3 linked regions of the Oreochromis niloticus genome follow. The protein of the gene in region 1 purifies or fractionates together with the protein of each later gene. This does not show direct contact. Links are inferred from orthologs where the notes say so. Each region holds a gene or a part of one and is shown on either strand. Other genes may lie near its edges. The genes, in order: atxn7l3a, taf10 and atxn7l2a.

What was found.
Region 2: the proteins of atxn7l3a (region 1) and taf10 purify together in Homo sapiens (affinity purification with mass spectrometry; 7 studies listed by BioGRID and IntAct, with this or other methods). This does not show direct contact. The link is inferred for Oreochromis niloticus from reciprocal best matches to the Homo sapiens genes ATXN7L3 and TAF10.
Region 3: the proteins of atxn7l3a (region 1) and atxn7l2a purify together in Homo sapiens (affinity purification with mass spectrometry; 5 studies listed by BioGRID and IntAct, counting the BioPlex papers as one, with this or other methods). This does not show direct contact. The link is inferred for Oreochromis niloticus from reciprocal best matches to the Homo sapiens genes ATXN7L3 and ATXN7L2.

The regions. Positions count from the first base shown.
Region 1 is NC_031969.2:28,393,608-28,397,359, reverse strand, and holds the start of atxn7l3a (ataxin-7-like protein 3), read left to right. Parts: upstream 1-1,217; 5' UTR 1,218-1,442; coding exon 1,443-1,450; intron 1,451-1,985; exon of another isoform or gene 1,986-2,028; intron 2,029-2,123; exon of another isoform or gene 2,124-2,130; coding exon 2,131-2,230; intron 2,231-2,320; coding exon 2,321-2,453; intron 2,454-2,545; coding exon 2,546-2,717; intron 2,718-2,810; coding exon 2,811-2,908; intron 2,909-2,999; coding exon 3,000-3,022; intron 3,023-3,114; coding exon 3,115-3,160; intron 3,161-3,509; coding exon 3,510-3,547; intron 3,548-3,641; coding exon 3,642-3,710; intron 3,711-3,752. UniProt on the Homo sapiens protein: Component of the transcription regulatory histone acetylation (HAT) complex SAGA, a multiprotein complex that activates transcription by remodeling chromatin and mediating histone acetylation and deubiquitination.
Region 2 is NC_031984.2:24,229,978-24,233,729, reverse strand, and holds the start of taf10 (transcription initiation factor TFIID subunit 10), read left to right. Parts: upstream 1-946; 5' UTR 947-1,201; coding exon 1,202-1,334; intron 1,335-2,761; coding exon 2,762-2,919; intron 2,920-3,067; coding exon 3,068-3,132; intron 3,133-3,752. Other genes in the region: uncharacterized protein zgc:154075, read right to left, coding at 1-50, 360-373. UniProt on the Homo sapiens protein: The TFIID basal transcription factor complex plays a major role in the initiation of RNA polymerase II (Pol II)-dependent transcription.
Region 3 is NC_031970.2:39,528,871-39,532,622, reverse strand, and holds the start of atxn7l2a (ataxin-7-like protein 2a), read left to right. Parts: upstream 1-983; 5' UTR 984-1,072; coding exon 1,073-1,202; intron 1,203-1,360; exon of another isoform or gene 1,361-1,581; intron 1,582-2,080; coding exon 2,081-2,149; intron 2,150-3,752.

The sequences.
Region 1 (3,752 bases):
GGCTCAACCGAAAAAACATCCAAGAGTGGACGCTTAGGCTTGACGAAGCTAATGGCTCAGTCGCATAAGTAAAATAGGACATTACAAGAAAAACGTGTGGCTACCTTTTGATTGTATTGAATTTTTCCATATTGGCAAAAAAATGGCAAAAATATTGGATGTTGAGTGAAGTATTGTGATAATATCATATCATGGGGTGTCTGATGATTCCCAAATGTAGTTCTGCTACATATGACTAAACTGAAGTATTACTCAAACCTTGATGTAATGTTGTAAAGCAGAATCCCCAACAGGACCTCATCATGTCAGATGTTGCTCTGGTGGTGTACATCAAGTTCTACCGAAATGGAAAAATGGCCTCCAGTGAATCCCTGACTTTAACCAAATCCAACACATAAAAGATAAACTGGAGGGCCAACTCTTCACCCAGCATAGCTGGGATGGAGAAAATCCAAAATCTTGTGGGTTTTAAAAGTAGCTGGAGCTAGTCGTCCAGTAATCCTATGCTGGTGTAATGTTAAGGTGTCCACATACTTTCGGTCATTTAGCATAGTTGAAGTGATGACCTCATTCAGCCCGCCCAGGCTCTACAAACAGATTGTAGATAAAGAGCGAAAATCTAGCGTTCATTTATGGATGTCTGAACTGAAAGAAACCTCGCTGTGAAAGCGGAAACATCCGAACTGTACCTTCAAAGTAAAAGTATAAACGTATTTATAAACTTAAATACCTCACAGTTCAAATTGGGCTGTTTGTGCCCTGTGATGTTAAATGAGTTCGACAGCTTATAAAATAAATATGAAAATTCATTCTGGCAAGTAGCTAACTGTTAAAGATATGTGGCTAAATAAAAATGTTAACAATTGTTTTTAAAATGTTGTTCTTCTTTCAGTTAGAGAGTAAAAGATTAGATTAAAAAAAAATTAAGATACATTTTCTTCATCTTGCTTGTTAATATAAAAATGCACATTAATATAGCAAAAAGTGACGGAAAAATTAAATGAGTAATGATGTGTATTGGTATTTTTGAATGTAGCAACATTACTTTTAATTTTATTTATTTTACAAGCATTTGAATGATTAAATTAGCTTCTTCTCCATCCTTTTTCCGATTTCAATATGGACTGTATTCTCTTTTTTCTTTTTTCCTTTTTGTCGAGTTCCAGCAACTCGCTTCACATTTGCAGGTTAAGCTTTTATTTTTATTGCTACAACCGGAAGTTGGCTGGTTTATATGCTTTGTCGGCCTCCTCGCTCGTACCGTCAGTTTTGCTAACCGACACCTGCGACAGCAAACACTTTTATCGAGCTTTTTGTTTTACCCGTGTTATTAGAATGGCTGTAGCTGAAGACCGGGCCTCCTGCTAATGCGTTTTATGTGGAGTGACTCGGTCATGTTGCCTCCTTCAGAGAAACTGCCCGGTTCAGGCTGAGTTTTCGGCATGACAGGGTAAGAGGAAACAGTTTGAAATTAAAACACACCTAACGTCGCTACACTGTTTCTTAGTATTTGAATGCCACAAAGGCCTTTCCTTCAGCTCAGATTAGTAGAGCAGTGGGGCCAGCAGATATAAACCATGAAAGGTGATATTAGCCGGAGTTAATTTGCTAAGGAACTGTCACTACCTGCGTTTAGGTTCTACTAACGTTAGCTAGTCGTTCGTGAGGTAGTTTAAATGAACATTTTTTGTAAAATGTAGCTATTTTTGAGCTTTCGTGTTGGATACATAGGTATCTTGTTTATCTCAATCAACCACATGTAATGTTAAAGCTGGTTAGAGTGCATGGTTAAAACCACATTCCTTTGTGTGTGTGATGTCCAGTAATTTGAAAATCAGGATGTTGTTGTAGCTGATATGTGCTGATATGTTCAGTTCAGGCTTGGTGTTACAGTGGTCAGATTGTACCACTAATTATCATATGTTTACATGAACCTTCTGTGGTGATCTTGCACATGACGAGCGATTATTTCTTCTTTTCAACAGGATGAAGATAGACCTGGAACAAGTTCTAATACATATTTTTAAAGTATGTTATTTGCGACTGGTATCTTGAATCTGTGTGCCTTACATCTGTTGCCTTTCAAGCATGCTGTGATTTCACTTCCATCCTATCTCTTTAAGTCCTCAGATATCAATCTTATTACCTTGCTGTCAAGACTTCCAATAGAGATTTTCAAATGAAAATGGAGGATATGCCCCTCTCAGGCCCAGACAACACCAGGCTGGAGGTGAGGTATTACCTGTGCATACAGGTAACCCATGCATTTACATAACATTGGGTTTGTTTTTGGTGTTACACTATGTTTTTGTTGTTGTAGGCCCTGGCCCATGACATCTACTCTGAGCTGGTGGAAGATGCCTGTTTGGGCCTGTGTTTTGAGGTGCATCGTGCGGTGAAACAGGGCTATTTCTTCTTGGATGAAACGGACCAAGAGAGCATGAAGGAGTTTGGTTGGTGCTGTTGCATCTGGTTTCTATTCTGTCTGTCTTCAATGTGTTTGCTTACTGTTTTTTTTGTTTGTTTGTTTGTTTTTTCCTTCCAGAAATTGTGGATCAACCAGGAGTGGACATATTTGGGCAGGTGTACAATCAGTGGAAGAACAAAGAGTGTGAGTGTCCCAACTGTAAAAGATTAATAGCAGCTTCTCGCTTTGCTCCGCATTTGGAGAAATGCCTCGGCATGGGACGCAACAGCAGCCGCATCGCCAACCGCAGGTCGGTCAGTGAAGGTCGTAAAGCAAAAATTCCTGCAGTGATCCGAAGTTATACATGAAATTCTAATTCAATTGTTTGATCTTCTTTAAACAGGCTAGCCAGCAGTAATAATATGAGCAAATCAGAAAGTGATCAAGAAGACAATGATGACCTTAATGATAATGACTGGTCGTACGGGGCTGAAAAAAAAAGTGAGCACTTGAGTGATTGCATTGTACTGAGAGATGAAAGAAATCTCCAGGTGGTTACTTAAAATAAACATTTCTTATTTCCTTTTTACAGCCAAGAAGAGAAAGTCAGATAAGGTTTTTTTTTTTAAATTGCACATTGTTAGTATAAATGAATTTTTCATGCGTATTATAAGGTTATTTTAATCTTAACATTTTTGTTTGTGCAGAGTCAAAATTCCCCAAGAAGATCCAAATCCCTGAAACATAAAAACGGTGAGTCTATCGGGTTGTTGTTGTTTTTTTTGTTGTTTTTAAGTGTAGTGAAGAGGTTTTGATGAATGTGGGTTACCGATTCAAAACATTTCTTAGGCTTGAACTTGAGCAGTCTCAGAGCTCAGCTACTGTTGCAGATCACGCTGTGAAGACACAGCGTGTATACATCTGCTAATCTCACTTTTTAAGCTAGTTTCCAAGTTCATAGCTCAAAGTGGAGGGAACAATTCAAAGTGAAATGCGAATATTTTTCTTTTTGATGCAGATGGATTTTATAGTTTAACTTTGATGTGCTTTTAGCAGTCTCAATGTATTACATGAACAGTGTGTTTGTGCGTATGCATTCCAGGTGAGATTGGAAGTGGCGTCGGTGCTGAATCTTACAAGGTGACAAATCCTCCTGTGATCAAATTGATTGCTAGCCTATAAAGTATAGTAAATTCTTTACTCATAAAGGTTTATGTTTTGTCTTTAAATTCAGTACAACTATAATACTGGCATCAGTTATGAAACGTTGGGCCCCGATGAAGTCAGATCCCTTCTAACGACGGTGAGCAATTTTCATGAATCTGCCCAAGCATGTAATTTTTTA
Region 2 (3,752 bases), on another chromosome or scaffold:
CTCCCACCACGATCACAAGGACAGGAGCAGTCATTTTGCCAGCCTGTGAACTTTGACACAAATTAAAGCTTGTAGTTACAATGCCACAAAACCCAAGAGAATAAATAATCGTGAGATTACAGGTTGAGCAGTCCTGAGCAGTCCTCCACAGATGCATTATACTTCCCTTAATACGTCGATATGTAAACACGTTAAACTCACAGAGATAGGCACAAAATTGTCAATCATTTAAAAGTGGACTAAACTAACAATTCAAGCCCTGAGTGATTACTGAACAGGGAATAAGAGGAAGCTTGTGAAAGTCGTTAATCGGCGTTTGTGGTGAATTGTACTTGTACGTTTATAAAGCCTGACAGTACCTGTTTTGTCCCATACAACTGTCACAAACGTCCGTCTCCCGCTTTGGTCAGATGAATACAGGACTACAATTTGTCCAGAGCCCAGCAGACAGTCCACTCTAGTGAAAGACTGACTCACTTCTTCGAACCAGAATATCAACCGAGAAAATGTCCGACAATCCCTTAACGCCCCCTGCAGTGTGCACGAGATCGCTCTGCTGCATTCAGTGCACCTCGTAAACTGCCACTTCTCACAAGAGAAGCGGTGAATCTCTGTTTATAAAGCTATGGTGTGTACAATCTAACCGCTAGATCTCAATAGATCGCACTTTGCAAACAAACAACAAAACATCTATGGCTGCTGTTCATCTTTATTGACTTTAGGTTGTCATTTTGCTGTTTATCGCTGCTGTCATTATGTGTTGACGTCTATTTACTCTTGGCAAGGCTGTAAAAACTTCTGAAAAGAGTCCAATGCAGGTCAGTGAGTTAGTGAAATTCAAATCTGAATTAAATTCTTTAAATATAAAGAAAGTGTATTAATGTATTGCCTACAGTCTCCGCTACGGCAGGGGGCGTAGGCGGCGGTGTGCAGTCAACATAGAAGAAGAGAACGCCTCTATGTCACATGACGTGATCTAACAGTAGTGGCTCAGCGTTTTACTGCAAAGGTCTTAGAAACACTTCTGCTACGAGTTATAGTTTTTCAGTTTTGATAATTAATTTCTTTGAATGAAAGGGTAGACTTATACTAAAACAGTATTTTGTAGAATACTTGTCTTACAGCTATAAATCGCGGATTTGTGGTGTTTTGCATATTTCGGTGCTAGTTAACCACGGTTAGCTCGTTAGCTAACGCCAGCATGAATATGGACAACGTAAATCAGTCTGTAACAACAGGAGTGCCTTCTACCACATCGTCAACGGCAAGTAATTGCATTGCCAACGATAATACGACAACCAACGTGAGCAGCATCCCGTCGGTCACGAGTAATGGTAACGTAACGTGACTTTGTTATTGTCTTTGTTATTATTCTGAGAGCATTTGCTGATTTCATCTCGCACTGGAAGTCGAAACTTTCCACGATGTACATTGACTATTGACAACAATACCAAGCCTGACTGAGAGAAACGCGTACTAACCTAAACACCATCAGCGAAACCTACCTTAATGCATCAAAGTGTAATGCATTAAGGTAGGTTTTAGACGGCAATCTAACACTTTAAAGTGTTAGATTGCCGTCTAACACTTTAAAGTGATTTAAACATATTAATTACAAAACCTACCAAGTACCACGTTTCAGGTTAAGCCTGTAGCACTAACTTAACCATTGTAGCAATTTTTTAGATTGTTTGTACAGTACTTTGCAAAAGTCTCAAGCCATCCCTGATTTCTTTATATTTTGCAAGGGAAAATTGGAAATGGGTGCAGTGCATTGAAAAATGTTGGTATATAAGGCAAAAACAGAGTTTGTGCAATTCTAACAAGCTTGAAAATAAAGTGAATATTTGATATGACCACCTTTATTATTTAAAAGGCCTTGAATCCTCTCAGGCAAGCTTTCTTGTAGGTTCTTTAAGTAGTCACAGAAAGTTGATTCTATTTATCTGACTGTTGAGGTATGTTGTGTCACTCATGCAAGTGACCTCTTCAGTTTCAGCTGACTGTGGGGTCCCGCAACTGATTAACTGTTAGGTCAGTTTCCTGATTACTAATATACAAATTGTCATGATCATTGATTAATGGCCATGAGTACTGTTTAGAGAGAGTTGGGGAATTAGTGATGGTGGAAGATGTTCCCTTAGGCCCCATCCTTAAAATGGATTTAATTTTCATGTAAAAATTGGAGACTACTTCTCTAAGTACTCTTTAGCAATAGTTCTCCAGGCTTCTTGAATTACATCTAAAGCTTCTTTGGATGTTGGCTGCCTTTTGCTCTGTTGTCTGTGAAGATGGTCCAAGACTGTTTCAGTAAAGTTGAAGTCTGGTCTTTGGGATCCTGATCCATGACTGATAGTGCTTAATTGTATATTTTTTCTTTCCAGGTTTTTTTTTTTTTTTTTTTTTTTTAAATGCATTAGCAGTGTGTTTGGCATCATTGTCATGCTGAAAAATGAAACTGTTTCCAGATGGTATTTTGTGGTGGATATCAAAATCTAACCCTATTCAAGTGTGTTTATAATTTCATCAACTTTACCAAAATCCTCAACACCACTGGCCAAATAACCAAGCAGCAAAAGCCACAACTTATCCTTTAGGTGCGGATGCACAGCTACACTCTTTTGATGATACCAATGTTCACATTTTGGACTGACAAGACAGATGGCATTAATTATTTTCTTTTTTCCATGCATAGAATTCGTCTGATCTCCCTCGCATCTCAGAAGTTTATCTCAGACATTGCTTGATGTGTCTTTTATAGCTTCATCCTCATCAGCTGTGGTGACACCGTCTGCAGACACATCTGTTTCCAATGGAGTCTATGTTCCTGGTGGCATCACTAATGGAGATGTGAAGCCTGCTGTTTCCACCACGCCACTGGCTGATTTCCTCATGCAGCTGGAAGAGTACACTCCCACGGTAAGTCAGTTAGCCCCGCTACATCATACTTTCACACATTTTTGACAGAAATGTTTCTTAATCAGTCCTTGATTGGTACATGTGCACTAATAATATTAGTGACATATACATTAGTAGTTATTCTTTGTTTTTGTTTTTTTCCCACCAGATTCCTGATGCAGTCACAGGTTACTACCTCAACCGGGCTGGTTTTGAGGCTTCTGATCCAAGGATGTGAGTACATGCAGTGTAGTATTCAGATCTTTTGGCATCTGCAGGGATGCATGGATCTAAGTGATAAAAAAAATGTCATCAGAGGCAAATGTGAGGGTGAGATGCACTCGATTCTGCTCTAATGTCAGTGTAATGTAATGTCTAATGTAATGTCAGTAAAAAACCTCCACCTGTGCATGTGTCCTTTAGGTAGACTGAGAAATTGTATACTAGGAACAGCTTTGTATCTGTCAGTGTGCACACATGGAGGAGTACATTACAGCACAAATCATAAGGCTGCTCATAGTTGGTACGTTCAGAGGTTTGATTGATAGCCACCAATTTACTTAACAGCTGACTTAAAAGCCTTTATATAATATGAGTTCACCAATAAAAACCTTAGTTCAAGGCACTGAATGAGTCAGAAATTAATGTAATCTGGCAATGGGAACATGTTGAAGTCACAAATAAATGACTATATTGTCATAATTTAAAGAATTTCCCAATGGTATACAGCATTTCTTATCTTAATGCTGTATTAGTTAGGTTGCACCGTGCTTTCTGATGTTACAGGGAGTGTTGGCTGATTTAGATTTGCTTAAAACAAACTGGCTTTAACCTTTTAACCAAAATGCAACATC
Region 3 (3,752 bases), on another chromosome or scaffold:
GAGGCAACAAGAGAGAAGGAAAGGCAGGCGTGTGGCAGTGAGGGACTGTTACAGGGAGAGAGCTGGCTGATGTGGTAAGAGACAGAAGAGAGCAAGCAAAGTTCAAACTGTTCTATCATGGTGTGGATGGGAAGTGAAATGGAGTAGGAGAAATCTTGAAGGAAGAGTATCTAAAATAGTCTGGTGAAGGTAAGTGTCAGACAGGATCATGACTGTGGAGCTGGAAATCAAAGGAGTGATGTTGAATGTCAGTGTGCATCCCCCAACAAGCAGGTGGAGGAAGCTCAGAGGATTAGTAACGAGGAAGTGAGGGCAGCTACGCTGTGCTAGTTCTGAAAGCTAATTCTTTTAGTTTGAGTTGACTAAATGTCTCAGTGTAAAGTTGATTCAGGCTGTGGTGTTTACTGGTGACTCGCCTCACATGGTTTCAAATGTGACATGTGTCCATATGTGCACGGGAGCGTCTCTGCACAACAAGATCATCTCTACAACATTTTCATCCCGTTTTTAATCACAGACTAAAGTGCCAATACTTGATCAATTCTTCGTCAGGAAAAGGGTGGTTAATGAAAACTACGGCGAAATGATTTGTCAATGAAAGTAACAGCAGCTGTGAACAGAATGAAGAGTGGAAAAGCAGCTGTTCCAGATAACATACCTGTGCAGGTATGGAACTGTAGGACTCTTTAACCAGGCTGTTTGGTACATTATAGAGGAGTACTACTGCGAGGCTGATATGCAGAGGGGTAAAGTGGGTGGGCCGCACCATAAAGATGGCCTCTGTCCCTTAACTGGGTCGTGGACCACCAATTGATTATGTGCCTCACCACGCCGCAGGTGGCAGCGGATCGTGTGAAAACTGTGATGTTTTTTACGTGTTTTCAATGCGCATTCAACCATGTACACGCGCGTGCTGTGTTTATAACATTCTGTCATTTCCACCGTATAAAACTGGGAGAGACTAGAGCCAAGCCTTCTGCCTCTGTTTGTGTGGGTGTCCCCAGCACGCGCACGCAGGAAGTTCCTTTCCTGTCGAGAACGCGAAATGACGTAAGTTGCTTGCCGCGCAGTGATGATGGCGGTTCGTGAACGCGCAGTAAAAGTAATGGCTGCTCTGGATCGGCGGGTTCCTAGCCTCGATGATTTCGTGGGTCAAAGCTGGACTGCCTGGGCCGATTGGGCCGGCATGACGCCGGCGGATGGTAAGGAAACACCCTGGCACAAACACTGATCGGTACGGAGCCATTTAACGGAAGCAGCGGTGTTTATTTTCGCGGAAACGCAGGACAGAGCTAAACATGTTACCCAAACAAAGACCCTGCCGGGTCCTAGTGCTGGGTGGGTAACATGTTGGTCTTCACCAGGTTACAAAAATTATAATAGTTAAGACACGGTCATTGTAGCGTGATTTTCACCTGTGTGGTCATAAAACAATCTGCAGCGTTTAGGGGAGACCATTCGTGTGGAGAAACCCGGCAGGGCTGGCTGACATCAGAGCGGAAGGAGGCTAGTGTGGATGGCTGGCCGTGGAAAGCGAGGATACAAGCTACCATGCGAGCCCGACTAGCCGGTGGCGACGAGGTAGTTAGCATTAGCATGCTAACGCTAGCAGCAGCCGGATTCAGAGCAGACGCCGGTGACGGAGGAGGAGTCTGACGCTTTTGCACCGCTGGCCCAGCCTGTGATAGAAGGAAACATTTTGTGTGTCGTTTCCACTTCGCTTCCTTCGTTTTCTAAACAATGATGGACTCGCCTTACGATTCCTCATATATGTGGCTTCTGCCCACAGTGTTCTTGCTAGCTTTACCTCTGTGCGCTCACTCACTGTTTGGCGTTTCTCCAGTGCTGCTCTGTCAGATAGTCTCCCCCACCACCCAGTGCCATTAGCTGCTCCCTGCTGATGGTATACTTGGACTCCGAGTAATTCCTGGAGAAACGGTTGATCTGTAAATGAGTCACTTACATAACACAGCTTATTAATATGGGCTATGTGTGATGTAAGATGAGTCTTTGTATTGCTAATGATGATACTGTGGCCAACATCACAGCTGACAGTGGCTGTCTTGAACATGTGTTTCAGGGCCTGACGTGGATGACTGCAATAAGAATGGCAAAAAGGCTGCAGAGGCAATGTCACTCAGTAAAGAGGGTAAGTGTGCACCACCGCTGACAATAAGCAGCCGGCTGTGCAGGTTAGAAACATGAGAACACATGCCTCATACTTATAGATTCAGCTTTTCTGACAAACACACGTCTGCTTCGTGGAGACCTTTGCAAATACACATGCTGAATGCTATTCTGTGTGTATGAGAACATGACACCATAACTCAGGAAGTTTGCAGCACTCCACTCACAAGGCCATAAGAGCCAAACAAGGGTGATCTGAAGTCCCCACTGTTCTTAGTTTGAATCTGCTATGGAGGTTTGGTTAAAAAAAAAAAAAAGTAGGTTATTGATTCATGTAAGGTTATTATTTTCCAACTACTTTGGCCAGACTCAGAATGTTTTGTCAAGCCAAAAGTTTAGCAATGAAGAGTCTTCATGGAGCTCACACTGAGTTTGAGATCGCTTATCGTGATGTAACAACTTTTACTGGCTTAAATTTCTATTTCTCTTTTGTAGTTATATTAACAGCTTACAACACTACACAAGCCATATGCTTTGTAATGCTGTGCATTGTAACACGAGTCTGTGACGACGGTGTTTTGGAGCGTGAGTGTTTGCCACATGCACGCCAGCTTCATCGTTCTAAATGAAGCTTTGCAGTGTTTCCATCGAGGCCAGCCTGACCGGGCTGTGAGCGTGGTTCCAGCTAGCACCAAGCTCCTGCTCATGGTGCACATCGGAGGAACCTCACCAGTTTATGCCATCATTTACAATCCCATTTTTATGTCAATGAATTTCTCATGAAGGTTTTTGTTGGATATGTTTTTGTTTGTAACAAAGTGCACACTGAGGTTGGGCGACTGGACGATTTTACCGACGACAGGCTGAGCCTTTCATCGACACTCCTCCATCATTGTCTAATTGCTTTGATCGAGGGCTGCGCCCCGATAGCGTTAGCTTCTATAAAATGCCCACGTCCAGTCTGGTGAACTTGAAAACGTTTGTTTGGCAAACTTTTACTGACAGTTATTAGCTTCCACATACCGACATGTTGGCGTGTGGCTGCGTGTGAATATGTGTTTGTGCTGCGGATGCATGAAAACAGCCAGCTTGTTATTAAGACCACCATGAGGCTGACTGGCCGGCCGCTGGTCAGGGCAGCGGATGCATTCTGGTCACCAGTCGGGTGAATTTAGATGAGCCTGGCTGAGGACTGTCATGTGATCATCCTGTATACCTGTACTTGCTCCTGGGGTGGGATATTGACTTGCACATACATACATACTGTTTGACCCAGAAAGAAGAAAAACAGCATTTTGAACTCTGGGGAGTTTATTTGTGACAAGCAGCAGGGGAAGAAGTGGATGGCTATCAGCCGCTAAAAGGTCTTTACTGACTTATAATTCTGCTAATACGTTCATGCCGTTTTTATCTAAGACTTTCTCGTTTGGCTTCCACTCATAATGCCTTCAGTCACTGACAAACACAAGCTGGAAAAGAGGAGATGGGGATGTGTTCACGAGCTCTGATGTCACATCATTTCAATAAACACAAACGCACTCGGCCTTTTTTTGGAGATGATGTGGGAATATCCCTGCTCCCCACAGCGCTATGTGTTCAGCATGTGTGCACCATGATGCTGTGCA